Diceros bicornis minor: one gene and its partners. The protein of the gene in region 1 interacts with the protein of each later gene in a biochemical or structural test. Links are inferred from orthologs where the notes say so. Each region holds a gene or a part of one and is shown on either strand. Other genes may lie near its edges.

What was found.
Region 2: the proteins of UBE2I (region 1) and SUMO3 form a complex in vitro, tested with the Homo sapiens proteins (2 studies listed by BioGRID, with this or other methods). The link is inferred for Diceros bicornis minor from reciprocal best matches to the Homo sapiens genes UBE2I and SUMO3.
Region 3: of the proteins of UBE2I (region 1) and ELK1, one has a biochemical effect on the other in vitro, tested with the Homo sapiens proteins (3 studies listed by BioGRID and IntAct, with this or other methods). The link is inferred for Diceros bicornis minor from reciprocal best matches to the Homo sapiens genes UBE2I and ELK1.
Region 4: of the proteins of UBE2I (region 1) and HIF1A, one has a biochemical effect on the other in vitro, tested with the Homo sapiens proteins (2 studies listed by BioGRID). The link is inferred for Diceros bicornis minor from reciprocal best matches to the Homo sapiens genes UBE2I and HIF1A.

Annotation. Positions count from the first base shown.
Region 1 is NC_080765.1:47,066,424-47,073,343, reverse strand, and holds the start of UBE2I (SUMO-conjugating enzyme UBC9), read left to right. Parts: upstream 1-3,915; 5' UTR 3,916-4,339; coding exon 4,340-4,379; intron 4,380-4,555; coding exon 4,556-4,632; intron 4,633-4,804; coding exon 4,805-4,888; intron 4,889-6,152; coding exon 6,153-6,225; intron 6,226-6,920. UniProt on the Homo sapiens protein: Accepts the ubiquitin-like proteins SUMO1, SUMO2, SUMO3, SUMO4 and SUMO1P1/SUMO5 from the UBLE1A-UBLE1B E1 complex and catalyzes their covalent attachment to other proteins with the help of an E3 ligase such as RANBP2, CBX4 and ZNF451.
Region 2 is NC_080766.1:44,198,734-44,205,777, reverse strand, and holds the start of SUMO3 (small ubiquitin-related modifier 3), read left to right. Parts: upstream 1-4,041; 5' UTR 4,042-4,127; coding exon 4,128-4,148; intron 4,149-7,044. UniProt on the Homo sapiens protein: Ubiquitin-like protein which can be covalently attached to target lysines either as a monomer or as a lysine-linked polymer. Does not seem to be involved in protein degradation and may function as an antagonist of ubiquitin in the degradation process.
Region 3 is NC_080781.1:41,404,330-41,412,250, reverse strand, and holds the start of ELK1 (ETS domain-containing protein Elk-1), read left to right. Parts: upstream 1-4,917; 5' UTR 4,918-5,025; intron 5,026-7,921. Other genes in the region: protein UXT, read left to right, coding at 51-118, 395-502, 3,527-3,653. UniProt on the Homo sapiens protein: Transcription factor that binds to purine-rich DNA sequences. Forms a ternary complex with SRF and the ETS and SRF motifs of the serum response element (SRE) on the promoter region of immediate early genes such as FOS and IER2.
Region 4 is NC_080763.1:11,158,467-11,166,368, forward strand, and holds the start of HIF1A (hypoxia-inducible factor 1-alpha), read left to right. Parts: upstream 1-4,884; 5' UTR 4,885-5,153; coding exon 5,154-5,188; intron 5,189-7,902.

The DNA of each region.
Region 1 (6,920 bases):
CTCTGCTGCCGTCGGGCCCAGCCGGGAGGGCGCCCCCTCCGCCCCCGGCCTTGCGGCCCCGACTCGCCGTCGCCGCGCGCCTGGACCCCCGCCCCGCCCCGCCCGGCAGGCCCGCGGCGCCGCGCCCGGGAGTCGGCCGGCCGGAGCAGGGAGGCCCGAGCCTGCGGCCTCGGCGGACCGCGTCCCCCCGCGCCTGGCCTGGCTCGCGTCCCGTCCCCGGATTCCCATCACTTTCCCTTTTGAAGGCGGGAGAGCGCGTGCTGGGCGGCGGCCCCGAGGGGCTCCCGGTCGCGTCCCGGAGCGCAGAGCGCCGCGGCCGCTGTTGACAGGCGCTGGGCTGGAGGGCGGCTACCGCGCCGCGGAGCCTCCACGGGGAGACTGTTTTCCGGGGTCACGGGACTGCGCGCAGACCTGTGGCGCTCTGCAGCCAGGGGACAGCGCGCGGCCCCGGTACTTGAAAGTCTTGGGTTGCAAAATCGCTGGCTCGTGGGGGGGTGGGGGTTTGATGTCTGAAAATCAAAACAAGCCTGAGTTTTCTTGCGCCTCTAAAGAGCTCCACCTGCAGTTGGTGGGACACTGAACATGGGCGCTTCGCTTCAGGGAGAGTTTTCTTTCGGAGGTTGCTTTGTACCGATTGAGCGGAGGTTGGAACTGGTAGTTACGTGAGTAGGAGGGAGGAAGGGGATGATTAGCTGGGCTCGCGATCGCGGCCTGTAGTCGCCCCGGAATCACAGTATTAGCCGGTTCGGTTTGTATAATTTGAAAATATGCTTTGTTTCTCAGTTTGGGAAGATATTGTTACTGTGTTTGCAAAGTTGGCTTTTTGTTTGTTTCCTTTTAAAGACTGTGGCCATAAATGTTTCTTGCTATTGAGGAAACACAGCCTTTGGGTTGAGAACCTATCCGACAGAAAAAGGACATGGATCCTAAGTTTGTCCTGATTTGTTTTCCGCCTTTTGGGTGGTTTAGGGGTGAATTCTGCATGCTGTTGTGCTTTTGCCCGGTGAGTCTTGTGGTTTGTGACTTTGCTTCAGAAACAGCCCAGGGTCCTGGGAATTATGTTGGGAAAGAACAAGAGATGTGCAGCTTGGACGGGAGGTCTCCTGAGTGCGAGGTGCTTGGGGCCAGGTGAAGTGAAAGCCTTCTGCTGGAATCTCCCTTGCGGAGTTTGCATTTGGGTGGGAAAGGCCCGGCTGGAGCGTGAAATCCATTATCAGTGTCACCCTGGGCAAACCTGTGAGGTCATAGTCTAGCACCCGTTTTACAGATGAGAAAGTTGAGGCTGGGGAAGATGAGCACCTTGCCATATTCATGCAGTAAGTAGCTCTGAGGTCCGTTCTGTCAGTTAGTAGAGCATGATCTGACAAGAGCAAGTTCAAGTACACCCCTCTGCCAGGCCCTGGAGGAAGGTGGAGGGCAGACTCCAGTGCTCTGCCTGAAGAACTCTAGTAGTTAGGGGATGTCTTATCTTTGTATCTTATAACTTTGCTGCTCTGAAGCATCTAGGAACACTCAACTGCTTCTTAAGTGCCTCTGTTAGTTGGGGAAGGAGTTTCCATTTCAAGTGGGATTCTGAATGAGTTGTTCTGTATTGTAATTAAAATGTAACAAATTGTCTGCTGTCTCCTGTACACCAGGAGGTGAGTGGGAGTGGAAGCATCTTGGGACCAGTCCTCTGCCTGGGACTGTGCAGGTGTGCACCTGTGGCTCTTTGTCCTGCTGACAGAACCCGTCTTGGTGATGCCAGCCCAGCTCAGACTGGGGGGCGGGGGGGTCCTTACATCTCATTTCGACAACTGCTTGTCTTGGTTACTGAACTTCTGTGTTCATTAATGCAGCAGAAGCAGCCTGCCAGCCTGTGCTGTCTGCTTTACCCTGGCTGGGGGTGAGAGGCCATTCTGTGTGTGCCCTTTCGGTGGGGGAGGCTGGGGGCAGGGGACTGGAGGACTTTGGAGGCTAGTGTGTGCTGTGCTCTCAAGCTGGGGATGGGGGTGGAGTTGGGTCATTTCATTTAGAAGAACCAGTTGAAGTGAAGGGTTTGAGAAACTTGTGGAAATGAAGGATTTTCAGACATCCAGGTTACTGCCCCAGCCTCCTGGCCTCGCGGCTAGTCATCACTGCGCACTTCTGCCCAGAGAGAGCCTTAAAGACAGGAGCTAGCTGGCGCTCTCCTCTGCCCCGGTCCTTGCAAGCTCCCCACCTCCCTGTGCAAGCCCAGGTCCTCACAGTGGCTCACCAGGCCCTCACGGTCAATGTCCAGGCGTCCTGAACCCCCTGGCCCTGCCTCTGGCCCACGGGGCCCTTCTGTTCCTGACCATCCTGCCTGGAACAGTCTCCTGCCTGATCTCTGCAGGCTGGGCTTGAGTAGCCTACCTGGCCACCATTTGAAACCAGGGTGCGTGCCTCCCCATCCCTGTGGTCCTGCTGTGGACCTCGGGCACCTGGTGTTTCCCAGGACAAGACTTCCTCTTGTGTGAGCCCCCAGGGCAGCAATGCGCGTCTTGTTCTCAGCTGCTGGCCCCGATTTTACGTAGCGGGAAGGAGTGACTATTCCAGATGGAGACGTGCTGTCCAGGGAAGGAGACCCCGGGTGGGCGTGAGCTTTGGGCAGCCCAGTCACATACCGCATGGGAGGTGGGCAGACTAGAACCCTGGGATCGAGTGGCGGTGAAGAGAAATTCTATTGGGTGCAAGCTTGATGTTATCTATTTCATACTTAATCTTGAGGTCAGGTAAGATCAGAGTCTTTGTAAAGGCGCGTTGTGGGGTCACAGTGTGGAGCTGGAGGCCGTGCCCCCAGTGGGTGCGTCTGTCACGTGTGGCCCCGGCAGCTGTGCTTCCTGACTGGAGGGCTTTGATTTTTGACCGTCACTTTTCCTTATGATGACATAAGCATGCATGTTTCTTGAAAGCGCACCACGTCTGGTTGGTCTGGCGGTTTGTGGTAACTCGCCCCACTTCCTGAGACTTGGGCTCCTGGGTGGCACGGCAATGGCGATCCCAGACCCCCTCCTTCCACTTTGCTGACTTCTCGGGAGCTGCCCAGAACCCAGAGCGCTGGCAGCCCCGAGTTCCTGACTCGGGGTGGGGGGGGCATCGGGCATGTGCATTTCTTACAAGCATCCAGGTGATGCCCCCGCCCAGGGCCACACTCAGAAGGGGCTGTACTGCAGGGTAGCAAGGCGTGGCCCGTCTGGCCTGCTGCTGACCTGTTGACTTGACCCCTCCTGCACAAACAGGGGCTGTTTGAGTTGTCTGGGGCCCAGGGCCGGGCAGCCAGGTGGGGGATGGCGGGGAGAATGGTGCGATTTGGATTGCTGAGGCAGTTGTGGGTCAGCCTGCGCCGCAGTGGGGAGGCCGCATGAGTAATCACAGGAGGGGGAGTCGGGGGCAGGGGGCGATGCAGCGGGTGTCTTCAATGTTTCCACGGACTTGGGAGATCAGCAAACACAGGGTCAGGTTCTTGGGCAAGCTTTGTGACCTCTGAAGGTCTGCTGTGCCTTGCTGGCTATCCAGCGCCCTGAGATGCTGCTTTACCTGCGGGAAGCATGAGACAGTGCAGGCTGAGGGCTTCTGGGCTGCTGATTTGAACGGCTGAAGGCGCTGAGCCTCCAGGGTCTGTAGTCGAGGGGCTCGGGGCGTGATGGGGGGAGCCCCCTCCACACGGTGCACTGGCGGGGGCGGGTGGGCCTGCCTGCTGAGGTGTCTCCCCTTCCGCCTTGTGCTCCCTGCTAGCTGGCTCCCCCTTGCGTTGACTTCCCCAAAGTAAATGGGAGACAGGCCTTGATCTGTTCGTTGTTTGTGGGGCGCCAGCAGGTCCTAGGTGGGGCTGTAGGATGTGAGAGTGGAGGGAGAAGAGGAAGGAGCCTGGGGCCCTGGTGACAAGGGGAGTCTCTTGGATGCTGGTGGGCAGGTGTGCCATCTCTGTACTTGTCCATAACTCAGTTGAACTGCTCTCTGCCCCACTGGCACATTTCCGCTGCATTGCCTTTCAAGAATAAGGGTTATTCTCCTGGCTGCGCCCAAATCTGAATTCTGAGCCCCTGATTCTGAGCTGGGGGCCTGACAGCGCCCCCACATCCCTGTACAGGCAGAGGCGAGCACGCCATCACTGCCCCTCCTGGGTCTCGGGCTAGTGCTCTGGACACCCCTACCTTGTCCCTGCTGTTTCTGCGGAGTCTGATGGTGGAATTGTAATCCCTGTTACTCTGGCCCACTGCCGCATGTGACTGAAGAGGGCAGGACAGGTGTGCAGGTGTCTGTTGGGAGTGCCCAGTGTCCCCTCCCCCGCAGCACCTAGCAGCTGTGTGGCTTCACCTCTCTGAACCTCTGTGTCACCATGAAATGGAGTCCACGGCGTGTGCCGTGGAGCCCTGGAGGTGAGATGTACACAGGGAAGGTGCCCCACATGGAGGTGTTCCAGGAGGCCTGGGTCTTGGGAGCGGCCAGCTGCTGCTTCCCTGGCTGCCGGGGGCGGGTGGGGCCAGTTGTCAGGTGAAGAGACAGGGAAGCAGGTTTGCCTTTCCTAATCGCACCCTCTGCCCATCTCTTCCAGGGACTTTGAATATGTCGGGGATCGCCCTCAGCAGACTCGCCCAAGAGAGGAAAGCTTGGAGAAAAGACCACCCATTTGTAAGGAAAGCTTTATTTCTGTGTGCAACGCAGTGGACGGGGCCTGCCCGAAGGGGCCTCCCGGACGGGGGCCGTTGCCTCCGCGCTGGCAGGCGGTGGGGCCGCAGGCTTGTCCGTGTGCGCGTAGAGTGAGGCGGCGTGGCTGATGTGCTTGTGTGGTGTTTTCTCCCAGGGTTTTGTGGCTGTCCCGACAAAAAACCCCGACGGCACGATGAACCTCATGAACTGGGAGTGTGCCATTCCAGGAAAGAAAGGGGTAAGAGGCCCGTGGCTCATGTCCTCTGCCACTTGTCGGCTTCTAGCAGCAGGACAGAGGGACAGAAGTCCTTCAGAAGGACTTGTGTTTGAGTGCATGTGACATTCCTGATGCTCATGCGAGCCCCGGGGGGATGTGAGATGGGGAACGAACGAGGGTAGGGTGACATGTAACCCCTCACGTGTGGGGAGGTGCCCCACCAGCTGCATCTCGGGAGCAGAAGGAGCCTTGGAGGTGGGATGGAGACTGGTCTGGAGGAGCCCGAGGGCCTTCGGGCTTGTCCTGCCGGACCTGCTGGGGCTGCAGCTGCCCAGACATAGTGATGCTCCTTCTGGGGCGTCTCTGAGCCTGGGGCAGCTGCAGATCCTGTGATGCAGAGGCCAGGCATCAGCCACTGGAGAGGGCTGCGTGGGCCCCTGCATGTCCTTCACACACTGGCCAGTCCTCCCTGTGGGGCTGCCTCCTCGGCTCCCCTGAGTGCACCCGGCCCAGTTAGGACCCGCACGCTTGAAGCATTTGGGAGTGAGGGTCTCTGATGACCTTGCGTATAGTTCTGCCTGGGTGACTCCGGAGGAGGAGGCCCCCGAGGTGTCTGGGTTATGCTGGAGGCGTCATCACCTCCATTTCCTCCCACCCGTGGTCTGTTGTGAGATCACGAGAGCTCAGCCTCAGTGCTTCCTGATAGTGTCCCCACCCCCTGCACTAAGCCGGTGGATTAGGACTCGGCTTTGTCCGTGAGGTGACGTGGTTTGGGTTTATCCTTCGTCTGAGGTTGTTGAGCGCCCAGCACGCACCCAGCGTTTGCCGAGACCATTCCTGGCCCCTCATCTTAGGGCAAGGCAGGTGTGCTGCGGCCGTCTCCCTCCTGGGGGAGGTTGGAAAGGGGTAGTGGATGGTGGCGCTGGGAGGCTGCCCAGGGACAGGTGGGACCTGAGGGAGGGGCCTCTCAGAATGCCCCTCTAGGGGAAGGGGTACGCAGTAGAGTTCCCTCAAGTCCTCACCCTGTCCCGGGGTGGGAGGAGCCAGCCCGCCAGGGGCCCTGCCTTCTCAGAAGCCCGGCTGCTGCCCTGCCCCGCTCCAAGGAGAGCTCTTTCCGACTCAGTCTAAGGGCTCATGGAGGTCCTGACAGTCCTGTTTGTGGAACAGTTGGGCTGCTCCCCTCTCTCTGGGGTCCTCGTGGTCCTAGGGGGTGTGCAGCAAAAGCAAGCCCCTCCTCCTGGGCCTGGCCGGCAGCACATTTAATCGCAGTCTTATTTCCCAACAGACTCCATGGGAAGGAGGGTTGTTTAAACTGCGGATGCTTTTCAAAGACGATTATCCATCCTCACCACCAAAATGTAAGTAGACTGAAGTCTTTGAAAGTCAGTCTGCTGTGGCCACGTTCCAGCAGAAATCTGAAGTCCTCTTCAAAGAGCTCAGGCCTCCTGGGGTGTTGGTTATGTCACACTCTGCTCCACGTGGGGCGGCTCCAGGGCCTTTGATCCCTGTGGCTGGCTATGGATTTGAGTCTGTTTCTAGCCCCGGGGGTGCGAGGGGCATGGAACAGGCTAGTCCCAGATCCCAGCTCTAACCCACTGGGAAGCTCCTGGGCCCTTAATGTACCAGCCTAGATAGGGACGGATGTGTAAAAGCACCACCGTCTAGAACTTCACCACTCGGAGGGTTTTGTTTGCCCTGACCTGTTACCAGCCTGCCTGTTGTCTGTTAGAACTTCCCACCCAGCTCATGGCTGCATCTGCAGCCTGGAGGGAGGGTGCACATAAGCCCCCAGAGAAGGCAGCAGGGAGAAAAGGCCAAGCTGGTTTAATGTGCTACTGCCAGACTGTCCTGACGCAGTTCAGCAAACCTCAGGCGGGGCGGGGCACCAAATCCCTACCCTTTTGTAGCTGGAAATCAACATACGTTGTCCGTGGCTGGTTAATTAGATGAGTTAACATGTGCCCCAGCGCGTGGGCAACAGGCGGTGGCGTGGTGAGGCTCTGTGTGAAGGCTTGCCCTAGTGGTCAGTGATTCGGGAGGCAGAGGTACGTTT
Region 2 (7,044 bases), on another chromosome or scaffold:
TACAATAGTTTTATTGGGTATAGAACTGTATGTAGGCATTTTCCTTCAGCACGTTGTGGATGTTATTCCATTGTCGCTTGGCTTCCATGTTTCTGTTGCAAAGTCAGATGTCTTTTTGTTTCTCCTTTCAATATCTGGCTGATATCCTCCTTGTCTTTGGTCTTCAGCAGGCTAACTGTCATATACCCAGGTGTGGCTGTCTTTGTATTTATTCTGATTTGGGTTAGCAGTTTCTTTGTAGTATGTGGTTTATTATCTTTGGTGAATTTTGAAAAATTCTCTTTCATTCTCTCTTCAAATATGGCTTCTGGCCTATTCTTTTCTCTCCTTCTGAGTCTCCATTTTACAAATATGTTAGATATTTCCACCATATTGTATATTGCTTTTAGGCCTTTTACTGTATTTTCCATACTTTTTCTCTCTCTGCTTCTGTCTAAATATTTTCTTCTGACCTATCTTCCAGTTCATAATCATCTCTTCCACTGTGTCTAATCTGTTGTTAAACCCATCTACTGAATTCATAATTTCAGAAATTGTATTTTTGTTCTCAAATTTCCATTTCTTTTTTTTTATAGATTCTAATTTTCTGCTGAAAATTTCCATCTTATTATCTATTTTCCTTAACATATTAATTATTTAAAATAATTAAAGTTACTTTAAAGTCTGTGTCCGATAATGCCAATACTCTGTCTCCTGTGGGGTTATTACTATTTCTTGGTTTTGGATCATTTGTCTCCTGGTTTTCTTTGCAAGCTTTTATTTAATTCTGGATATTGTGTATGAAGATATTTTAGTTAACTTGAGGCCCTAGATGATGCTATTTTCCTCCAGAGATTTTCTTTGCTTCAGGCTGGCAATAGGAAGGAGAACAGGTCAGCATAGCCCAATCTGGGAGTGAGCTGTTTGGAAGCTGGGTTTCAGTCTTTGTGAGGAGTGACCTATTTACACTTCAGCCTTACTCCTCTATTGTAGGTCCCAGTGCTCCATTTGAAGGTCCAGGTTATTTATCATAGCCTATCTTGTAGTAGGCCATGCTCAATTATTGTCTCCCCATCCTATGAGACTCAAAAGCTCTGCTCAGTGTCTCAACTTCTTGTCCACTGCATATATTATGGACTGCATTGTGTCTCTCTTCCTCCCTCTGTCCCACACTCCCTCCCTCCCTCTTCCTCTCCCTATATCCATGCACACACAGAGGAAAGGCCATGTGATGATACAGAGAGGTGGCAGCCCTCTACAAGCCAAGGGGAGAGCCCTCACCAGAAATCAACCCTGTTGGCACCTTGATCTTGGACTTCTAGCCTCCAGAACTGTGAGAAAATAAATGTTGTTTAAGCCATCCAGTCTGTGGTATTTTGTTATGGCAGCCCCAGCTGACTAATATAGCATACTAATCACCAAATGCCTCAGAGGGAAAAACCACTTCCCTTCTTTCTGGGATCTTCACCCCTCAAAGTCTTCTCTGTTTTAGTAGCTACCTGATATCTTCAAACAGATTTTCAAAATATTTTATACAGATTTTCTAGTTGTTCAAAACCACAATAGTTTAACAATTTGCTTTAAAAAATTCATCAACATCATATGAGCATCTTTTCCTGTTATCAACTACTCTTTTTTTTACACATTCTTTAAATAGTGATACAGCCTTTCATTATATGGACCATAGTTTCACTAATTTCTTATTGTAACACATTTAGATATTGTGTTTCATCAATTCTAAGTTACATATTTTTCACACTTCAATAGGTCTGAAACCAGGATGTGTCTTCCATCCGTAACCCATCATAGTTTAATGTGTATGTGACATACACAATATTATGCTTTATAATTGATGGTGTCTTCCAGTTGATGATGGGCATGAACACTGCCCATGTGAAGTCACACCAGAGCCAACAATCTTGGGGGATGGTTCTGATCCCCATTGTCCATCTCTGTCCTGGATGGGGCTTGTTCCTGCAGGCTCCCCTCTCCCAGAAGCACAGTTAGAGCTGGCCATTCTACCTAGGGATTCTCTGACAGAGGTGGGTCATAGTGCAGATTCCAGGATAAAAAGGACCTTGGACCTGGCTGAGATAGGAGGTTGGCTCTGACCACACCTTTCATGGGGAGACTTTGTTAACCTGTGACATGGCAGCCCCATTTTGGGGAGGCCCCTCCCCTCTCCTAAATGGTGCCTCTAGCCAAGAAAGTGAATTTTTAAGAGTCAAAGATGGTTTGTGAAATTAAGGTCCATGAAAACATGGCTCCATAGCTTTGTGATGTTAACAGGAAATGAGTGGAATCCAGCTGGCTGGGCCTTACTCAGACAGGATGGAAACGGTTCAGTCTCTTAGGGTCAAATCCAGACCCTGCTATTTCCTAGCTGCATGACTCTGTGCAGTCCACCTTCCCCCCAAACCTTCGTTTCCTAATTGGCAAAATAGGGATCATGAGGGTCCTTGCACCAGAGCGTTGTGAGGCTTGAGTGGGATGATGCAAGCTTGGCACCAGGCTTGGCACACCCTGAGTGTGAGATAAATTTCAGCTGTCACTGGTCCATTTCATCTGAAGGCATTAGGATTACAGACAGGGAGGATAGGAAGAGCCAGGGGCTTCTAAGGATGCATGCCTCAAGTAGCAAAAGGATGTCCTGACCAAGGCCCCCATTCTCCAGCACATTCCCCATGGCCGCCTGAGCACCTGTCTAGGCAGTGTTTCACCCTGGGTTTGCCCCGACAGTCAGTAGAGCACACTGGTCAAGCTCACTGACCAACTGCCCATGCTCAAATCCCAGTCATACTGCTTACCAACGCTGGGATCTCAGGCATGTAATCTAACCTCTGAGTGCCTCAAGTTCCTCACTTGTAGAATCGGTTATTGTGAGGACTAGGTGCGGAGTCCTGGCATCTGGTGCAGTGTGCACTCCAGAAACGTTAGCAAAACGGTCACAGGAGGGCCTCCTGCATCTGTCCCACCATCTTCCCCAAGGGTTCAGCTTCCACTAGCCAGGTTCGGAAGGCCAAACGGGACTAGACAAGGGGAGAAAAGGGAGCTGCAGAGAGTGAAGCCTGGCTAAGCTCAGAGTGAGAAGTGGACAGAAAGACATTCCACATCTCTGGTCCCTGTCTTAGGTCTCTGTCCCCCTGGAGCTCTGGGTGAAGGAGGGCAGACTGGAGTTTGTGTGGGCTTGTGAAATGAACAAATGCGATGTGTCCTTAGTGGATGGAGCTGACAGGTGGGTCAGCCTTGGAGCGCTTTCTTCCTTCACCCCACAGTTCTTCATGACCTTTGGCTCCTGCTCCTCCATGAAGGTGAATGGAGCCTTTTCGAGTAGTGGGGTGCCTCTCAAGGCACCACTCACTCACCCAGGTCCCCTTTGGCCACTGGAGGTGGTTCACCAGACTGGCCTTATTTTCCTTTTTCGCTCTGAGAAACGCACTCTCTACACAGGAAATAAATGGGTGCGCCTGGGCTGGCTGGCTGAGCTAAAGTGGGCGAGGGACCAGGTCGGTTGGCGAGGAACCTAAGGCACTGAGGAGGCGGACAGGCTGTCCTCAGGCCCCAAGATAATGCGCCAGTCCTGGTCCCTGACCCCACAACAACCCCGGCCAAATGGCCTGGACTCTGAGCGCTCCCCAGGCCCCTCGCTGCCCAGACCTCCCCCCAGGCCCCTGTGCAACCCCCTGGGGACCTCGGTGTCCTGTATGCCACCCTGGGCCCTCGGTGCTCCAGCGCCCCCCGGGTCCTAGTGCGCCCCCGATGCCCTGTGAGCCCCCCGGTGTCCCGCGCCCCCACAGCTCTGAGAGCGCGTCTGGTGCTGTACAGGCATCCCCACCCCCGACTCCAAGCCCTCCGCGCCCCAGAGTGTCAGGACCGCCAGGTTCACGCCGGGCCCCGCCCCGTGACGCATTTCCAACGGTCAGGAACCTCGGCCCGGCCCGGCGCGCGCCCGACGCCCCGGGGGGCGCGCATCGTGCACGCGCAACGCCACGTGACCCCCTCGCCGACCAACCCGCACGCCGAGATTTGGGGGGCAAAGCGCGGTCCCGCGAGCAGTTGCGGCGGGAGAGCGGCGGGCCGAGAGCGTGACTCGCCCGCTCCGGCGCTGCCTGCTTCCCCCTCGCCGCCTCCCGCCGCCGCCCGCAGCCATGTCCGAGGAGAAGCCCAAGGTAAGGGCCAGCGGGCGCGTGCCGGTCCCGGTCCTCGGCCCCCCGCCCGCGCCGCCACCGCCCGCGCACCAGGCACCCTCCGCGGCCGGGTGCGACCTCCGGGATCAGAGCGGCGCCGGCGAGGCCTCCCCGCGCCCCGCGCCCCCCTCGGCTCCCCTCCCCCCCGCGCCTCTCGGCTCCCCTCCCCCCGCTCTGTGGCGCTCCGCCCCCGCCCCGGCTCCGCCCCCGACAGCCCAGGCTCCGCCCCGCCCTACGCCCAGGCCCCGCCCCCGCCCAGGCTCCGCCCCGACTGCCACGCCCTCCGAGCTCCGCCCCCGTGATTGCCCGGGCCCCGCCCCCGGCTAGGCCCCGCCCCGTCCCGGGAGCCCCGCCCGGGATGGAATTTGGACGTGGTCTGGGGCGGGCGGGGACTTTCCTCGCAGGGAACCTCCCCTTCGCCGAGATCCCCCGCCACTACGGCGCTCTCCTAGCCGGGACCCGCCGACTCCGGGAGCCTTGCGGCGTCTGGGCCCACACTCCCCAGGAGCCCTTGCTCGGTTTCACGTCCACGCCCACCCGCGCTCGAACCCCGGGGTGCGGGGATCTCGCACGCTGCCAACCCCCTTCGCGGAGAAACGCTCCCTCGTCTTCCGTCGTTACCCCGCTCCGGGGCCTTCCAGCCTTGGCTTTACCCCCCAATCACGACTTCAACGGGAAGCCCACGTCCCCACTTTCTCTCCAGGGCCGCCCCTCCTCAGGACCCCCTCCCTCGCGGAGAGCCTCCCCCACTACAGCTCCTCCCGTCGGGACCGCGGTCCGCGGGTCCGGCCCTGGACCTGTCTGCTGAGGCGTCTCCAGGGGGCACCCTCCCCAGCCCTCATTGCGGAGCGAGAGGGCGCCGAGAGGGCGCACCTGGGGACAGGCGGCGAGGCCACCTGACCTGTCCGTGCACACTGCCAACCTTTACCGCAGCCCGTCCCGCCGCGCCCTCGGGTGTGCACCCGCCATTCTGCTCTTCCCCACGCTGTCCTCAGGTGTGCGCCCACCCCCCCCATCACTGTCCTCAGGTGTGCACCCACCCCTTCCCATCGCTGTCCTCAGGTGTGCACCCACCCCCCCATCGCTGTCCTCAGGTGCGCCCCCCTCCCCGTCGCTGTCCTCCGGTGTGCACCTGCCCCTCCTCATCTCTTCCTGGGGATTTTTGCCCACCCCTCTCCGTGGTGCCCTCTGGTGTGCCTCCACCTGTCCCCATTTGGCTCTCCTCACTCCGATGCCTTGGCTGTCAGTTCTTGGGGAGGTCCACGGTTGTAACTGCAAAAGCAAGTTCCTGAAGCTTTTTGTCTGCACCGTTGGGGTCTGTTGTTTTGACCAAATGGAAGATCTGCTGTTGAGTTGAATGCTTTGCACATAGGCTTCCTCTGATACCAGCCTGGTGCTGGAGATTGCACCCCCTCCACAGCTGAGACTGCGGCCTGGCGTGTCCCCAGTGCACGCAGGTGGCAGAGCTGGGGTTGGGGTGGACCTGCACGGAGCCCGTGGTCTGGAGGGAGAGTGGAAGCCTGCACTCTGCCCGCTGTGTTTTGAGAAAAGGTCACACCCCAGGAAAGCCTCCAGATGCAGATGGAGCCGCCATGGCTTTTTACATTTTGGTGCCAACTCAGCTTTTTATACCACTCCTCCAGGCCAAAGGTAAATGCTTGCCTTTGTTTTTCTGGGTGGCTTCCTCTTACTGAAGTTTAAATACAATGAAATACATATGATACTCATTTCTTCAGTGTGTGTAAACTTAACTCTCCCATGTCTTCAACATCCATGGTCCAATTCAGTTGAATAAACTTGTTTGAACTGCTTCCAAAACGACTAAATGGTTGTGCCTCACTCACACCTCATTCTTGCCTACCGTGCCCTCGGTGCCTGCTGGCTCTCGTGCTGCTCTCTCCTCTGGGCCTGGAGAGGAGGGGTAGGAGACTCACTCCCAAGCTGTCCTGGGGGTGGAAAGAAAACCTTGTGGGTCGATTCGGAAAACAGTTTCTGCCCCCTCTGGATAGGCGGGGGATTGACGGTAGTGAATTGTGGTCATTGTTTTCAGGGTTTCTTTTATTTCTTTTACTCTTTGTTTATTAGGAATTCACCAGGGGTCTCGGACAGGCTGCTCATTCTTGGTTTCCCTCTGTTAGAGGGGAGAGGTGCCTGGCGCCTTCTCCGCCTGCACCAGTCTCCCCAGGAAGCCAGGGCACCCAGTGGCCCTGTGAGGCTCTCCTGCTGCCTTCCGCTGCCTGGTCTGCAGCCCCTGCCCTGTGGTTCTGTTTGTTCTGTGTTCTGGCCCCTGCATCTGTTTGTTTTGAACACATCCATATCTTTTCTTTAAAAAAGCAAATGTGTCCTCTATCTAAATGCAAAAGAATGAAGTTGGATCCTTCTTAACACCACATACAAAAATTAACTCAAAATGGATCAAGGACCTAAATGTAAGACCCAAAACAGTAATATTCCTAAGAGAAAACAGGACAAAAGCTGTACGACATGGGATTTGGCAATGATTTCTTAGATATGACACCAGAGGCAACAACAAAAATAGACAAATTGGACTTCATGAAAATTTAAAAATTTTGTGCGTCAAAAGACACTATGAACAGAATCAAAAGGCAGCCACAGAAGGGGAGAAGATATTTGCAAATCGCACATCTGATAAGGGGTTAATATTCAGAATATATAGAGAACTCCTACAACTTAATGACAACAATTAAAAAAAACAAGCTAACTAATTCAAAAATGGGCAGAGGACTTGAACAGACCTTTTTACAGAGAAGACATAGAAATGGCCAAAGGAACATGAAAAGATGCTCAAAACGTCAGTAATCATTAGAGAAGCGCAATTCGCAACTACAGTGAGACACCGCCTCACACCTACTGGGAT
Region 3 (7,921 bases), on another chromosome or scaffold:
GACCTACAAATTGACCATTGACCCCTACCTCTTTTTCCCTGGCGCTACAGGAAGCGAAGCACTCGGAGTTATATATGCAGGTGGATTTGGGCTGTAACTTCTTTGTTGACACAGTGGTGTGAGTGTCTACCCGTCCCTCTGAGCCCACAGAGTTCAGCTCCCCCCCCTTCCTTCAGTCAACAAATGTTTTTCTGAGTATTTGCCCTGTACCAGACACCGTGCTAGGTGCTGGAGAAGTGACAGTGAATAAAATAGGACAAAATCCCTCCCTCCTTGAGCTGCAATTTGGGGAAGGTGGGGGGAGGGGAGTAAAAAAAAAATCTTAAATAAACTGTATGGTTTGCTAAACAGTGGTAAGGACTTCCCCCACTTCCTCTAACCACTGTTTCCTCAGCCCAGACACTTCCCGGATCTATGTGGCCCTTGGCTATGGTTTTTTCCTGGAGTTGACACTGGCAGAAGCTCTCAAGTTCATTGATCGTAAGAGCAATCTTCTCACAGAGTAAGTCCATTCCATGAGGATAGTGTCTACAAACACCACCATTCGCAACACCCTTCCCCCCTGCTCCATGGCTGCCTGGGATGATACTTAGGGATCCATCTCCCCTCCTCCTCAGGCCTAGGGCTGAGGAAAGTGGGGATGCAAGGCTCAGCCCCAGGTATAGCACATAATAAGCACTCAGTAAATGTTCATTCACACAAACATTTATTGGGCATCTGCTGTATGCCAGGCTCTGTGCTTGGCAGTGGGGAGGCAGCAGTGAACAAGACAGAAGGTTCCTTGAAGGCTTAAGTTATAGAAGGACTGTACTGTTATACACAAGCACAGTTTTGACCAGATCCGGGAGGTCTCACCCTTTAAATCAGTAACGATAAAACGAGTTACCTCTGACTTCGCCTCCTGCTAATTCTCCCACTCGTTCGCTCTGCTCTCACTACATTGACCTTCATGGGCATCTTTAAACACTCCCAGGATGATCCCACCTCAGGGCCACCCCACTGGCTGTTCTGCCTGCAGCACTCTCCCCAGATGCCTGCATGGCTTCCTTTCTCCTCACTCAATTGAAGTCTTGCTTAAATGTCACTTCCTCAGCGAGGCCTTCTGTAACCTAACTTTAAAATTGCAACCCCCGGTACTCCTGATTCCCCTTCCTTGTTCTACTTTTTCTTTTTTCCATAGCACTTGTGTCCTCCTCATGTTTACTGTGTAATTTACTTCTTTCTAATGTGCATTGCTTTCTTCCATTAGGCTATAAGCTTTATAGAGGGAGATATGTTGTCTATACCCCAAGTGACTAGAATAGTGCAGAGCATATAGTAGGCACTCCGTGTTTGTTGAATGAATTTAAAAAGGTATGCTGGAAACAGATTGAAGCAGATCTCTGTTGGTGGTGATGGGGAGGTAATGTGGAGGGAAAATGTGGGCTCTGGTTGAGTTTAAGGTTTTGTTAAGGGAAGGGGAATTGGGAGTGTAGATGCAAGGTTTGAAATGTAGCTCAGGAAGGCCTCCTAGAGGAAGTGACATTTGAGTCACTTGGTTGAGTGAACAAGCCATGGGGCTATCTGGGGAAGAGGATTCCTGGCAAGAGGACCAGTGTGCCTGTTGTGTTAGAGGAACTGGCAGGAGAGGCGAGCGTGGCTCGGCTGGAGTGCGGGAGGGAACGCTGAGCATTACACTTCAATTAACATCTCACAAGTGAATACCACAGATAGAAAATTCCTTCTGGGTTATATTTATCTTTATCCCTACGAATAAAGATTTCAGAGTTGTTTCTTCCAGAGTTGCCTCCCTTAGGGTTTCAGTAATTCTTTTCTTTTCTAACCTTTCCAGAGTTTCAGTGTTAGTAGACCCAAAAGAGCCTCAGACCTGCTGAGATTTCTAAATCTTAGATTTCTCAATTCTTAAGTTGTCAGTGCCTGTCTCCTTGTCTGGTCTTTTTAATATATTGACCTGGTCTATTAGTGTGATGAGAAATGTGATTGAATCTCTTATTACTTTATTATAATTAATAGGACTCCCTAGAAGTTTAATCTTTCTAGGAAATGAGGATTCGAGTCTGTGTAGCTCACTCTCCTCTTTAAAATACTTGGTGACTTGGGATACACTTTGAACTAACTTTCTTTCAGATTATTTTATGTAACCAAACAATCTGTCAGTCCTTCCTGTTCTTAGTATATTTCTTTGTTTGGGGAATGGGAGGATCAGGTCTCTGTGTATATTCTTTCCTGATTACACAGAAAGGAGTACATATCCACACTGCCTTACGTATTAAATCAGTAGCAATAAATTAAACGTATCCCTTTTGTGTTACAACTAGCATTTGGTGAACTTTCTATTTTTCTCCTTTTTTTTAAGTGTTGAACTCATAGCCTTTCATAGACTAAGCTTGTACCATTAACTAATTTTGTTCTCTTCTTTGATTTCAAATTGTCCCTTAGAAGCTGATCAAGATCATTCATCTGTTCTCTGAGGGGTACCCCTGATATTCTTGCAAGCATTCTTGCTCTCTAGCAACAACACCATGCTCCATTTGTTTCCTGTCCTTAAACGTAGACTCAACCACCTTTTGAGGACTTCAGGTTCCTTTGAGTGGAGTAGTCATTCACTTATTCATTCAGCATACATTGGGTGCCTACTATGTGCCACACACTATTTTGATTCTCCAGCCACACTGGTCTCTTTGCTGTGCCTCAGATATGCCAGGTACACTCCCACCTCAGCGCCATTGCTGCTGCCCTGTGTCTGGCACACTCATCCTCCATATAGCCACATGATTTGCTTCTTCATCTTAAGTCTTTACTCAAATGCTTCTCAGTGAAGCCATCCCTAATCACTCTAATTAGAGTTGCAGCCCCCACTCCTGCACTCCTTATCCTCTCTTAGCATTTAATTTTTTCATTGTACTTAGAACCATCTGACATACTCTATATTTTGTTCCATCATTTGTCCCTCTTAACGAGAATTTGAGCTCCATGAGGCCACGATTTTTGTTTGCTGTGTTTGCTGCTCTCTCCTCAGTACCTAAAACTACCTGGCATAGAGTAGAGATTCAAGAAATGTCTTTGAATCAGTGCAGTCCAGATGATGGCCAGGCATCTCTGCACAGAAGCAGGTCAGCTAGTAGGATGTCCTACCACCTGCTCTGGGGAAGTGATCCAAGATGGAGGTAGTTCTTGAAGTGATGAGGAATCATCATCCTCATGATCATAAGTGGGGTCCACTTCGCCCCTTGTTTCTTTTCTCCAGGCTCAGCGACAGCCTCACCAAGGACTCCATGAATATCAAGGCCCATATCCACATGTTGCTAGAGGTGAGAGCAGCTCACCCCACTCTCAGACTCTGTCTCCAAATGTTTAGGGTGGTGACTTGAGGAAGGGAGGGGACTAGAGATGGGAATGACCATCTTTCCCTCTAAACTGGAACCAAGCTGGAGCCAGGCTGGCCCTGAGGGAGGGGATGTCAGAGCAAGCCTGGGGCGGGGCCTGGACGCAGTCTCTGTTCAATCTATTCTCTCCTCTTTTTCAGGGGCTTAGAGAACTACAAGGCCTGCAGAATTTCCAAGAGAAGCCTCACCATTGACTTCTTCCTCCTTCCCCTGACATTAAAAAGCCTGAATGCCTTTGAGTCACATGGCCCTTCTTTTCCCCCTTAGCCCCCCCTTTTTGCTCAGGTGTCCTGTATCTAAAGCACAAAGTTACTAGGAGGCCCAGAGATCCAGTCTCTATGTGGAACATTTAAAGTCCCCCTGAAGTCCCACCTCCAGCCTGTTGCCTGGCAGCATTTGACACCTGACTTTCTGCTCTGCCCTCTCTTGTGTCGCCTTAGCAACCTGGGCCTCCATCTGACACTTCTATTTCTTTTCCTGAACACTACTCTTTGAATTACCATAGAGAATGGGCCGATTCAGGGTGGAGGTTTGTTCCCAAGGCAATCAGCCTTTCACTCCTGGCCCTAAGGTTTACCCCTCTCCCACACCCCAGTCATTCCTCAGGTACCTTCAATTCTTAAATTACACCCACCGCCGTCTTGGCTGCTAAATACTTCCCAGTTTCCACCAATGGGCGCAGAGCCGATCCCGCCCTCCTTGGTCCGGCCCCTATTCTAGGTTGAGTCCAGCTTCCGTCAATCAATGCAGAGCCAGGTTCCGCCCCTTTATAACTGGCTGCAGTTCGACCCTGCCCTGTTCGTAGGCATTTAGTTTCCGCCCTGAACGCTCCTTGGCGTGTCTGGCAGCTGCCCTGCCTTCCTACCTCTGCTCCGTTCTAAATTCGTGTTTTCTAGCCAATCACTATAGAGTTACCCTGCCCGCCTACGCAGAGCCCTGACCCGACCCCCCTCCCGGCGGGCTGTTACGCTTATTCTATACAAGTCCTGCTTCCGCTGAGCAGCGTGGAGTGCAGCACCGCCCGGTTGCTGTTTTGGCAGCTGTCTAGGAGTCCCTCATCCGCCAATCAGCAGGAAGCACAAGCACCCACCCCTATCCTCGGTGGCTGTCTTCCATCAATCCCATATAGGCCAATCAGTGCGAGGCAGGCGCCCCAGGAAACTAGGCAATTGCCGATTGTCTATCAGTCTTTCTTGAGCCAATCAGCGTGGAGCACAGGCCGGGCCGAGCACACCCCCTTGGAACCAAGACGGCTGTCTGCGTTCCATCACTTCCCCTTGGGCCAATCACGGCATAGCTCTGTGGGGCAGGGCCCGCCTCCCCAACCCTGTAAGCCGCGCGCTCGATCCATGGCGCTTTGGCCAATCATTGAGAGGCGGATCGTTCGGCTCCTCCTCCACGGGCCCACGTGAGTGGTGGGGAAACGCAGGGGCGGCTTCTAGGCGCCGCCGCCGCCGCCGCCGCCGCCGCCGCCGCCGCCGCCGCCGCCGCCGCCGCCGCCGCCGCCGCCGCCGCCGCCGCCGCCGCCGCCGCCGCCGCCGCCGCCGCCGCCTCGGAACCCGGGCCTGGGGGGCGGTGGGGCCGCGCATGGAGCCCCCGCCCCCCGGAGCTGCCAACATCGCTCCTGCGCTACGCACAGGTGAGCCCGGGGTCTGGAGGGTAGAGGGCCCGGTCCGTGACCCCACGTATCCTTCCCGCCCCCGCGCGAGGGATGTGGCTTGGCCCGTGGCCTGCTGGTGTTCGACTCCTCACCGCCACCACCGCGGCTGGTGGACCTGCCTGTGGCATTGTCCCCTCTCTTCGCCCCTTGTAGTGGATCTGACCGTGTCCTAACCCCTTTTCCTGTTGTATAATGGATCGGTCTGCGTGCTTATATTTCTCCCCACCCCACCTTACAGTGGACTCGTCCGTGGTCTTGCCCCCACCCCCACTTATAGGGGACCAGTCTCTGGCCTTGTCTAACTCCTTGACAGTAGGTGCGTCTGAGTGTTTGTATTTCTCCTGTCCTCAACTTTCAGGGGCCCGGTCTGTGGCCTTGTTTGTTCCACCCCTTCTGTTTCTTGTAGTGAAGCAATCCGTGGCGTTGTCCCCCCTCACCCCTCTTTAACAGTGAGTTAATGTGTGAATTTGTATTCCTGTCTCCTCCAGTGTATCAGTCCATGGCTTTATCGCACACACACCCATTTTACAGCGAATCAGTCTGCATGCTTGTATTCACATCCCCCTAGTTATCAGCCCATTGCCCTGTCCTCCCTTTTTTGTAGACTGTCACTTCAGTCCTTGGGCTTCTCCCTTCCTTTTAATAATGGCTCAGTTTAGTGCTTTTTATCTCCTTGTTTTCAGTAGCCCAGTCCATGGCCTTGGCCCGATTTCCTTCTAATCAGTCTGTGTGATAGCTTTTCTCCTCCTCCACTTTTGTGCAGGAATCGGTGTGCCTTTCTGCTCGCCTTGCTGCCAATAAATAAGATAAGCCTTCGCACCCCCACCTCGCCTTTGCAGTGGGTCTGCTCGTTGGCCTTCCTGCTGCCCATGTGCTTGCATTCCCACCTCTTGGGATACCCTCCCGTGACTCTAGTGTTTTGTAATCCCTCCTCCAGAAGGGTCAGCCTGTGTGCTTCATTTTCTCCCTCCTTTCCTTGCGGTGCATCAGTGGCCTTCCCTGCCCCGCTTCCTCCTTAATAGTGGACCAGCCTGTGTACTGGTTGAACCCAGGTCTTTATTTTTACTCTAGAACACACCCCCTCATACACACTTAACCACTAAGACATTGTGCCTTGCTACAATAAATAAATAGATTAGTGACAATGCCAATAGGAGCTAACATTTATTGAGCACCTACTATGTACCAGGCAAAGTGCTTTATATTAATGAGCCCATTTAATCCTCACCACAACCGGATGATATAGGTACTGAGGACAGTTTGGCATGGCATAGGGAGGTTAAAAACCATACTCAAAGGGGACCCAGTAAGTACCAGGTTAGGTTGCCCCTCAGAACACAGGGTAATTTTTGAGACTCCTCTCATCCCATCCCACGAGGCCCCACTCCTTAAAAACGAAATTAGTTCCCATGTCCAGGTTTTTGTTTTTGCTGTTCCCTCTGCCTGCAGAGCTGTCTCCATTCCCACCTTGTCTCAGCACCCATCCACCTCCCTTCCCAGCAGCTGTGTCACCTTAGTGATGTAACCATTTTCTCTCTGCACTTCTTTCCTCATTTGTAAAGTGAGGGAATCAGAACTAGAAGCCCCTCCAGTGTAAATAAAAATACCTGTGAGTTAATAATAAATCAACTAACCTCTCTGGCCTTACCTGCTACACCTCCCTCCCAACTCTGTTCTGGCCACACTGACCTCCTCACTCGTCCTCAAACATACCAGGCGCCTTCTAGCCTCAGGGCCTTTGCAGGCTGTTTCTTGTGCCTGGAACACTCTACCCCTGATCTCTGCATGGTTCTTTTCAGGGCTCTGTTCAGATGTCAACCTGTCCCTTCTCTGCTTGATTTGTCCCTTTGCGCTTTATCACAGTCGGACACACTGTTTACCGGTTTCTTGTCTGTCCCCATTAGGATTGGAGTCCCATGGGGGCTTACAGGTTTGTCTGCTCGTTCACTGCTGGGTCTCCATCACCTAAAAATATACCTAGTATGTAGTAGGTGCTCAATAAGAATTTATTTCATGAGTGAATGGGAAAAAATATTGTTTCAGACAAATCAGGGTTGGAGAGCAAATGGAGGTGAAGAGGGCATATGAGAGCAAGTTAAGAGGCTAGTTAGTTGGGACTGTTCATTCAACCAACAGTTACTGAGCACCTACTGAGTACCAGGCATTCTTCTAGGTGCTGGGAATATGGGAGGGAACAAAACAGAAATTCCTGCCCTTGTGGAGCAGACATTTGCTAAAAGTCGGGGAGACAGACTGTATAAATAAAACAAATAAGTAAAATTAGGTGGTATGTTAGACAAGTGCTAAGGAGGAAAAATGAAGTAGGGGAGGTAGGAATAGAGTATTGGGGTGGTGAAATCTTACACTCAGAGCAGGCCTCACTTGGAAGATGACTCTTGAATTAAGGCCTGAAGGAGCTCAGGGAGGGAGCCCTAATGTCTAGGGGAGAAGTGTACCAGGCAGAAGGCACAGCCCGTGCAAAGGCCCTGTGATGGGATTGTGCCTGGCATGTTCAAGGAACATGAAGGGGGCCAGTGTGGCTGAAGCCAAGTGGAGGGAGGGCTAGGAGGCGAGGCCATGGAGGTGACTGGAGCCAGATGGTGTCAGCCATGGTGATGCATAAGGTGGGGGGAGGGGTTTGGGGAGGGAGAAGGATGACACACTAGCTGATAGCTACCGTTTGTTGAGTGTCTCCCATGTGCCAGAGGGACTTTTCTAAGTCCTTTACATATATTGGCATTTAATCCTCACAGAAGCCTTTGAGAGTAGGTGGATTTTGAGGCTATTTTACTTCGAGAGTAAAATATCCCCATTTTATAGCTGCAGAAACAGACCCAGGGAGATGGAGTAACTTGCTCAAGGTCACACAGCTAGA
Region 4 (7,902 bases), on another chromosome or scaffold:
TCTACTGATGAGCCCATCAAAAGCATTCTTCATGTCTGTTACATTGTTTTTTATTTCTAGCATTTTCTTTGGATTCTTCCTTAGAGTTTCCATATCTCTACTTACATTACCCATCTATTCTTCCACATTGTTCATTTTTTCCATTAGAGCCCTTAGCATATTAATCATAGTTATTTTAAATTCCTGGTCTGATAATTCTAAAATCTCTGCCATATCTGAGTCTGGTTCTGATGTTTGGTTTATTTCTTCAGATTGTGTTTTTGCCTTTTATTTTTTCAGAGGGGAAGAAAAGATCTTAGGAAACACTTCTCCACAGGTGAGCAGTATCTCAGCCAGGGATGGCAAATAGGTCTCAACACTTATACCGGCTGCTGGGGGAATCTTGAGAAATGAGGATATACCGGGGAGTAGTGGGAAACACTCTGAAGCAGGTTAACGTACCTACCATGGGGGCAGAAGGGTGATGGTGTGCCATTCACTTGCCATCTCTGTTCTAAGTCATAACGTGATTCAGAAGTACTTAACACTCTTCATGAACCTATTTAGCTGAGTGATTAGGTTAATGGCTGAAAGAGCGGACTGGTGTGGAAGATGAAGGGACTGCAGGATAATGAATTAGCTTCAAGGAAATACAGCAAGAAGCAAAAGCTCAACCATCCATCATCTTAGTCCGCTGCCCCCTCAGCTGGCTGGAGATGGGGCACAGTACCCCAAGCCCATGCTTTTTGCCTTTTAGCATGTCTTGTAATTTTTTTTGTTGAAAGCCAGACATGCTGTATCAGGTAAAAGGAACTTAGGAAGATAGGCCTTTACTATGAAGTTTTGTTTATCTGGCTAGGTGTTAGGCTGTGTTATTGTTTGCTGTAGCTGTGGTATCTAAGCTAAACTTTCCTCTAGGGTCCTTGTTTTTGTTTCTTTTGTTGTCTTTGGATGTCCCTAGTGACTCTTTAAATAGGGTCTGAGGCTTGCAGTTCCTTTAGCTGTAATCCCCCGTTATTATGTAGGAGCCCTACTGATGTGGTGTTCTGGTGAGGTGCGGGAGGAGGGGAAGCATTCTATAGTCTTATAATTATGTCTCAGTCTTCTAGCGAGCCTGAGTTGAGCATTTCCCTTCTCCCATGTTGAAGGCTATAGGGGGCTGGAATTGAGTGTTTTCCTTCCCCAAGGTGGGTTAGGCTCCGGTAAAATAGTTTCCCTTGAGGGCAGACCTGGTTCAGAAAAAGAGAGAGCTCTGGGAGTATTTCAAAAGGGTTAATTTTCCTTTCCCCCTGCAAAAAGCAAGAGGAGACGCTTCTCACATCTTCACAGTAAGACTCTGTTAGGGCTCCTAGAAGTAAAACTCAGGAAAGTTCTAGGGCCCCTCTACGGCTGAGCCCCCTTGGAGTTTTTAACTCTCAAGCTGGTCCAAACAGAGCCTCCAGCAATTCCTCAATTATAGTTGAATGCGTTCCTATTGATATTGGCTCCAACTGTGCTGTTGGCTTCAGCTGCTGGCTTTGGCTCCTGGTCAACTGTGATCCTTTGGTAAGCTGTGCTTCTTTATATCTGTCTGTCTCTCTAGTTTTCAGGTAGGAGTTTGTCCTGTGACCTCAGTTCTCTGATAGATTTAAGAAGAGTTGTTGGTTTTCAGTTTGTTCAGCTTTTTTCCTTATTGTAAGGATGGGAGCTCCCAAGCTCTTTGCATGTTGGACTAGAGACTGAAAATCTTTTGGCATTCCTTTGTAAATTTACTCTTAAAATGTCTATTATAATGGAAAAATGCTAGTGTCAAATTTTCAGTCTATTCTTATTCTCCAGAAACTCAGACAAATATACATATTTTGTTTTGATTTTTGAAAAAAGATTTTTAATGTCTATTCTAAGAACTTTCCAGACGATTGCTTTTTGTTGTTGTTGTTGTACAACAACAATAGGTTGTTGACAATAGGTCAAGGTGGTGGTGGAGGGACTAAGGGTACTAAAAGATCAAGAATCACTTATTGACCACCAGGTGTTCTTATATAGTTTGATACATTCTAAATTATCTGTTTCTGATGTGTTTCACTCTTTAAAAGGCTCAATGTTCTATACTATTTAGTAGTAATCCAAATTTCAAGTTTTATCTTGCTTCCTCCTGACTCACTGCCCAACTTCCTACTAAATATGGGTTAAGGGTCAATTGAGTCATTTGCAATAATCTTTCAGTCTACTTGCAAAGTTCTGCAAAGTGAGTTGGAATGAAATTTGAACACTTACAAAGATTAGAAGGCGATTGAATGAGACTCTTCATTAAGATTTATGTTCATTGTAATAACCTAAATGCATTTATTAATAGGTGGTTGTAAAGAGGATGATTTACAATTTTATCCCATAGAAAATTTTGTTTTTCAGAATTCTGTTATTTAACAGGATTGATTGAATTAAGGAATACTATTTGGCTCCTTCGTAATTATATGAAAACAAGCTGGTTGAATATTACCACTTTCCGTGTTCATATATGTATGTGTGTGTATACACATTTATACATACATATGTATACATATACACATAAAATACCATATTTTATACATTTCTGGAAAGGAAAATTGAACTTTGGGGTAAATTTAATGAACGTTCAAAAATATATTTTGCTGTTTGAATTATCCTTCTACTTTAAACTTTTGAAATGCTCAAAATTTTTTAAAAAATGACTTAGATTTGCTATTACAAAATGCTCATTTTTTAAATGTAACAAACACTAAAACAGAGAGAATTTCTTACAAGTAAATGACAAAGGAAATGATTGAAGATTTCTGCAACTGTGCTTGTGTAGGAGGGTGGGAACACCGTGGGCAGTTCCAAAGTTTAAAATAGGGAATATATGTGGATGTATATGAACATAATTGACATTTTTGGATAGCTAAAACTAGCTAACCTGTGGCAGAAGCCCAAGTAATTACTGCTAGCAGAGGCACAAATTTGGGGGTAATAATGATAAGAATAATGAAAACAAGACCACCAACAATACTAATGGCTAACAATTATTGATTGCTTACTATGTGTCAGGTATTGTTCTAAGTGCTTTACATGTACTATCTCATTTAATCATCCCATAATTCTGTGGCATAGACACAAGTGAGTAAACTGAAGCACAGAGAGGTTAAATGAATTAGTAAGTGTCAGAGCCTGTATTGCAAGCTCACTTTTGACTCTGGCACCAGTGTTCTTAACACTGAGTTTTCAGAATGTTAAACTAAAAGGTTTGTAATTTACGTTTATTCTTTCCACAATTAAAAAAGAAAACATGAGTAATTATTTTCGGTCCTTTCCTCTTTTCAGGCATTTTCTCCAGTACTTTTCAAGAATACATATCATTCAGCATTGTAGATCTGAAGAAAAAGTAGCATTAAGATCACTCTTTAACCATATCTTTATGGGTCTACAGACCAGTTACAGAGAGGTGCTATGTGAATCCGTTGTTGTCTTCTCAGAGTTTAATGCTATGTTATACAGACCATTGTGTTCACACACCAATATAATTGAAACCTACTACAGATATCCACATTAATTAATACACAACCCAAAGCCACATTGTAACAATATAACTAATAATGCAAAGGTGAGAAGCAAAATACTGTAATCTAGTGTCAAGTGGAGATATATGTGCAATGCTTCTTTGTTGAGCTCAAAACACATTCTTTATTCATTTAAAAGACTGACAGTCTTGAAATGTATGCTTCCAAAGCCAAAAAGTGATTGTCTTATCCAGCAGCTTGCAAAGTCATGTTAGCAAACAAGCAATACTGGCCGCCACCATAAAGTGTTAACTCGGGTTCAGCGTTCCCCTGCCCAGGTCTCAGCGAGGGGTTTGAAGAATCCTTCCTCTTTCCAGTCTACACAGTGAACTCAATTCAAGGTGGTAAGTCTCAATCAAGGGTCATCTTCCCCTTTTTTCCCATCCTTCTAAGATTATTTTCGGCTCTTTTAGAAGCAACAGGAAAGTAAAATAAAAGCCTATCTAAAGCTGTTTTTCCTACTCTTCCTCTGAAATTCAGGTTTATGCTCTTTTATTAAAGCCACTTATACCTATTTGTAAATGCTTAAAATAATTTCATATTTTAAGATTTCCTGCTACCTGCTTCCCTTGAGAGGTTTACAGCAAGAGGAGTTTGTTTATCTTTTTATTTGCATTTGTTCAGTAATCAAACTTCACAGAACAACTTAGTGGACAAGGAGGGTACTCTTGTGTTCTATGGCAGAATGTGGTCGGTGACATGGCCCGTGGCTGGGCGACCTGGCAAGAAAGACCCCATTGTAACACATCTGGGCAAAGGAACCAGAGTTCGCTGCCACGACGCGAAAAGTCTGTTTTTTTGAACTAGGACTCAGCAGAGCTGGCGGCAACCCTGTACAGCATAGCCGCCGAGGAAAAAGAGAGCAGGAGACTTGCCGCACCGAGCAGGAAACGTGATGCAGGCTTGGGACCCAGAAACCGAAATCTCTTCTCAGCAGCGCCTCCCAAAGCCAGCCACTGCCTTCCCAGGGAGAAGGCGCAGAGTCCCCAGACCCACGCTGGCCGCGCCCCCAGCTCTTCTCTTCCCTCCGCCGCTGCACACAGACGAGCACGTGAGCGCCGCGGCGCTTCCCAGCTGTGTCTCAGCTGACCGCCTCCTGATTGGCTGAGAGAGACGTGGGCTGGGGTGGGGACTGGCCGCCTGCGTCGTTCGCCATTGGCTCTCAAGGAACCCGCCTCCCCCTCAGGTGAGGCGGGCTTGCGTGAGCGCGCGCCGGGCTCCGCGGTCGGGCGCGCCCCCGACACACTACCCCCCCCCCCCGCGCGTGCGCCCCCGAGCGCGCCCCCGCCTTAGCCCGCCCCCTGCCGCTGCCTCAGCTCGTCAGAGCACAGAGCCGCTTCGTCCGAGGGGACGCGAGGATCGTCCTCGCCGCCGCTTCGGCCAACGCGTCGGGGTGGGCCCTGACGAGCAGCCCGAGGAAAGGCTCTTCTGAGCCGGACCGGGACCCTTGCGACTGCAGCCCGCTCCTCCTGCCTCTCGTCTCACGGAGGGTTTCCCGCCTCGCATCCCCCACCTCCGGCCGTGCCTCGCCATCTCTCCCGCGTGTGGAGGGAGCCAGCGCTTAGGCCGGAGCGAGCCTGGGGGCCGCCGGCCGGGAGGCATCGCGGGGCCCGAGTCGCCATGGAGGGCGCCGGCGGCGCGAACGACAAGAAAAAGTAAGCCCACTCCCTCCGCCCGCCGCGCTCCCCGCCGCCGCCCCCGCCCGCCCTCCGCCGCCGTCTCGGGCTGGCGGGCGGGCCTTGCGTTCCGGGGGGGGCCGCCTTTTTGTTTCTGCCTGCTCTCGCCTCTCCTCCCTCTCCCCCGGCCCCGCCGGCCCGGCTCCCCTGGCCGCGTCGCCATCTTGTCGTGGGGGGTGGGAGACGCGTCGAAAGTGCTTTCGGGGGCCGGGGGCTGAGCCCGCCCGGCCGCCCCGCCCGGCCGCGGGGCCTCGCGCCGCCCGCCCCCCCCCCCCCCCCCCCGCCTCAGACCCCGGCTCGCCGGCGCCCGATCCGGGTGGACTTCCCCGGCCTGGAAACCCCGGGCAGAGGAGCGAGCCCGGTGGCCGCGCTGCACCCGAGCTTCCGCTCTTCCCGCCCCCATCCTCTCCGGTTCCATTGAAAACTCGGCCCCGGGGCGGACCCTGCGCGCGGGTCCGGGCTTCCCGGAGGCGCCAGGCGCTGGGCTCCTGGCCCGGGGGCTCGTGCTGCGGCCCTGCGCTGGTCCAGCGCGGCCGGGGCTTGCCTTTGTGCGTTCGGGATTTGCCGCGGTGGCCTGAAGATGCTAACTTTTGAGTTTGCACGTGCAGGTTTGGTTTTGTTTTAATGGCCTTGAAAAACTTGCCTTGACTTAGAGGGGGAGTAACGGGAATTGAGAGAAACAGCAACATTTTAAAGAGAACATCAGAATTGGATACTTGTGTTTCTATCACCTGTCAAGAAAGCCCAGACGTTATAAATGAATAGATGCCTCATTCATTCTTGAAAATATTACGGTGAAAATGTAGCGGCTGGCTAAATTTGGGCAATCGTTGTTAATGACATTGGAAAAAAGGTATGTGATCAGAGCGTATGAAATGCAGCACTAAAATGTTGCAACATTTTTAGAACTGTCTCATTTTCCTGAAGTTGAAGTATATTAAAGGGAAACCTTCAAAATATATCCGCAGTAAATAATCATCGAGTTAGAACTTAATGCAAGTTTTTAAAACACTTTTAAGTTTGCGTCTGAGTGATACATTATAGGATTAAGAATTGTGAGTCGAACCGGTGGGGTTAAGAGTGATCCCCCTCCATCCCCCCACGTACAGTTGGGTCCACTTTGGTATTTTAACCTTTGAGGAAATCATTTTAAGTAATTGAAGATTTATAGTAAGAGTTGTGGTTAGTAGACTGGCTTTACTGTTAAGTCCTTCCACTCTTCTGGGAGAGATTAACTTCCCTAATCAGTATCAGCAGAAGATAAACTTGTTTATGTTCTTGCTATTTTGTAGATCCTTTTTTGGTTCTTATTCAATAGAATGATAAGTTCTCAGTTTATGTACACCAGAGAAAGCACTTATAAAATTCAAAAAGTGAGTAAACAGGTCTAGACTTAATTCCAAGAGTTGCCAGGAATTAATTTCAATTAATTTTGCAGAACTGATTACAGTACTTTTGATGAAATGATGAGGCTGCTGTATTGTAAACCTAAGACAGATTACCTCTTTGTAGTGCCAATTTTTTGTCCTTATATGCAGAATTATACTTAATACTATGCATCAAGTTACGCACCCGTCACTTCCTTTTTATATGCAATATTGTACTTATTTCTCCTTTGCAGTTCATCAGTTGAGACTATCAAAGGCAGCTTTAATAAAAATGAATTAATTAGCTGTTGTGCATCACTCTCAATTCTAAACTAGTTCTTAGATTTTTCCAGACTCATCTGTTATTTAAGGAATTTTCTCGTTTGGAAATTTAGCAAATTTGGATCAGATTGAATCATATTTCTTGATATAGATGTTCTTATAACTGAAAAATTAAGTTAATCACTTAATAAATGGTGGCTACTCAACTTTTAGACGCTATTTGTTAGAGATGTCTGGTTTTTATCCTTTTCTAACTAATAATTTTAAAACTTTTTGAAAAGATAACTGAGAGATTGAGGGGCAGGGATTTTTTCCTTACAATTTTTCCGTTTAAATGAGCCTTCCAGAGTCCAGATTATGTAGACAAATTTGTCTTTTTTGAAGGTCTAGAAACTCAAAAGCTGAAGGATTGGAAGAAATCAGAACAGAGGATAGGTATGGTTATAAGAGATAACATAGGGCCATTCATGTTGATTCCTTAGTAGTAGGGGCTGGACTTGTTTAACAGTACACTGATACAGATTTTTAGGTTTCAAAGAAATGTCATTGGTCTGTTTCAGGTTTCAGGCCAGACTCCTTCAAAGTTTTCCAAAACAAATAATTATTGGATCATTCAAGTAAAATGTCTGAGAATGAACATTCCTTAACTTCCTTCTTTAACTTTGGTCATTAAAAGTCAAGAAGCTCTCTCATTTTCTTAGTTGGAAGAGGAGCATGCCTGGTGGTTAAGAGCATAGGATCTGGAACCAGACACTTCTGAGTTAAGAGTCCATCATTTTCACTCTGTCAGCTTTGTGAGCTTGAGTAAGTTACTGAATGCTTTCTGAGCCTATTTCATCCTTTTGAAATGAGAATCATAGCCCCCATCGTAGCAGTCGTTGTGAAGATTAAATGAGATAATGCCCAGGACCTGGTTTAGGAGTCTTGGTAACACTGTGCACTTGAAAATAGGCATCACCTGTTAAAGTTCTAGTTTAAACTTCCACAACGCTTAAAAACTTTTTTGTAAATTCTTCCAAATATTTCTTTGTTTTAGATCCTCTT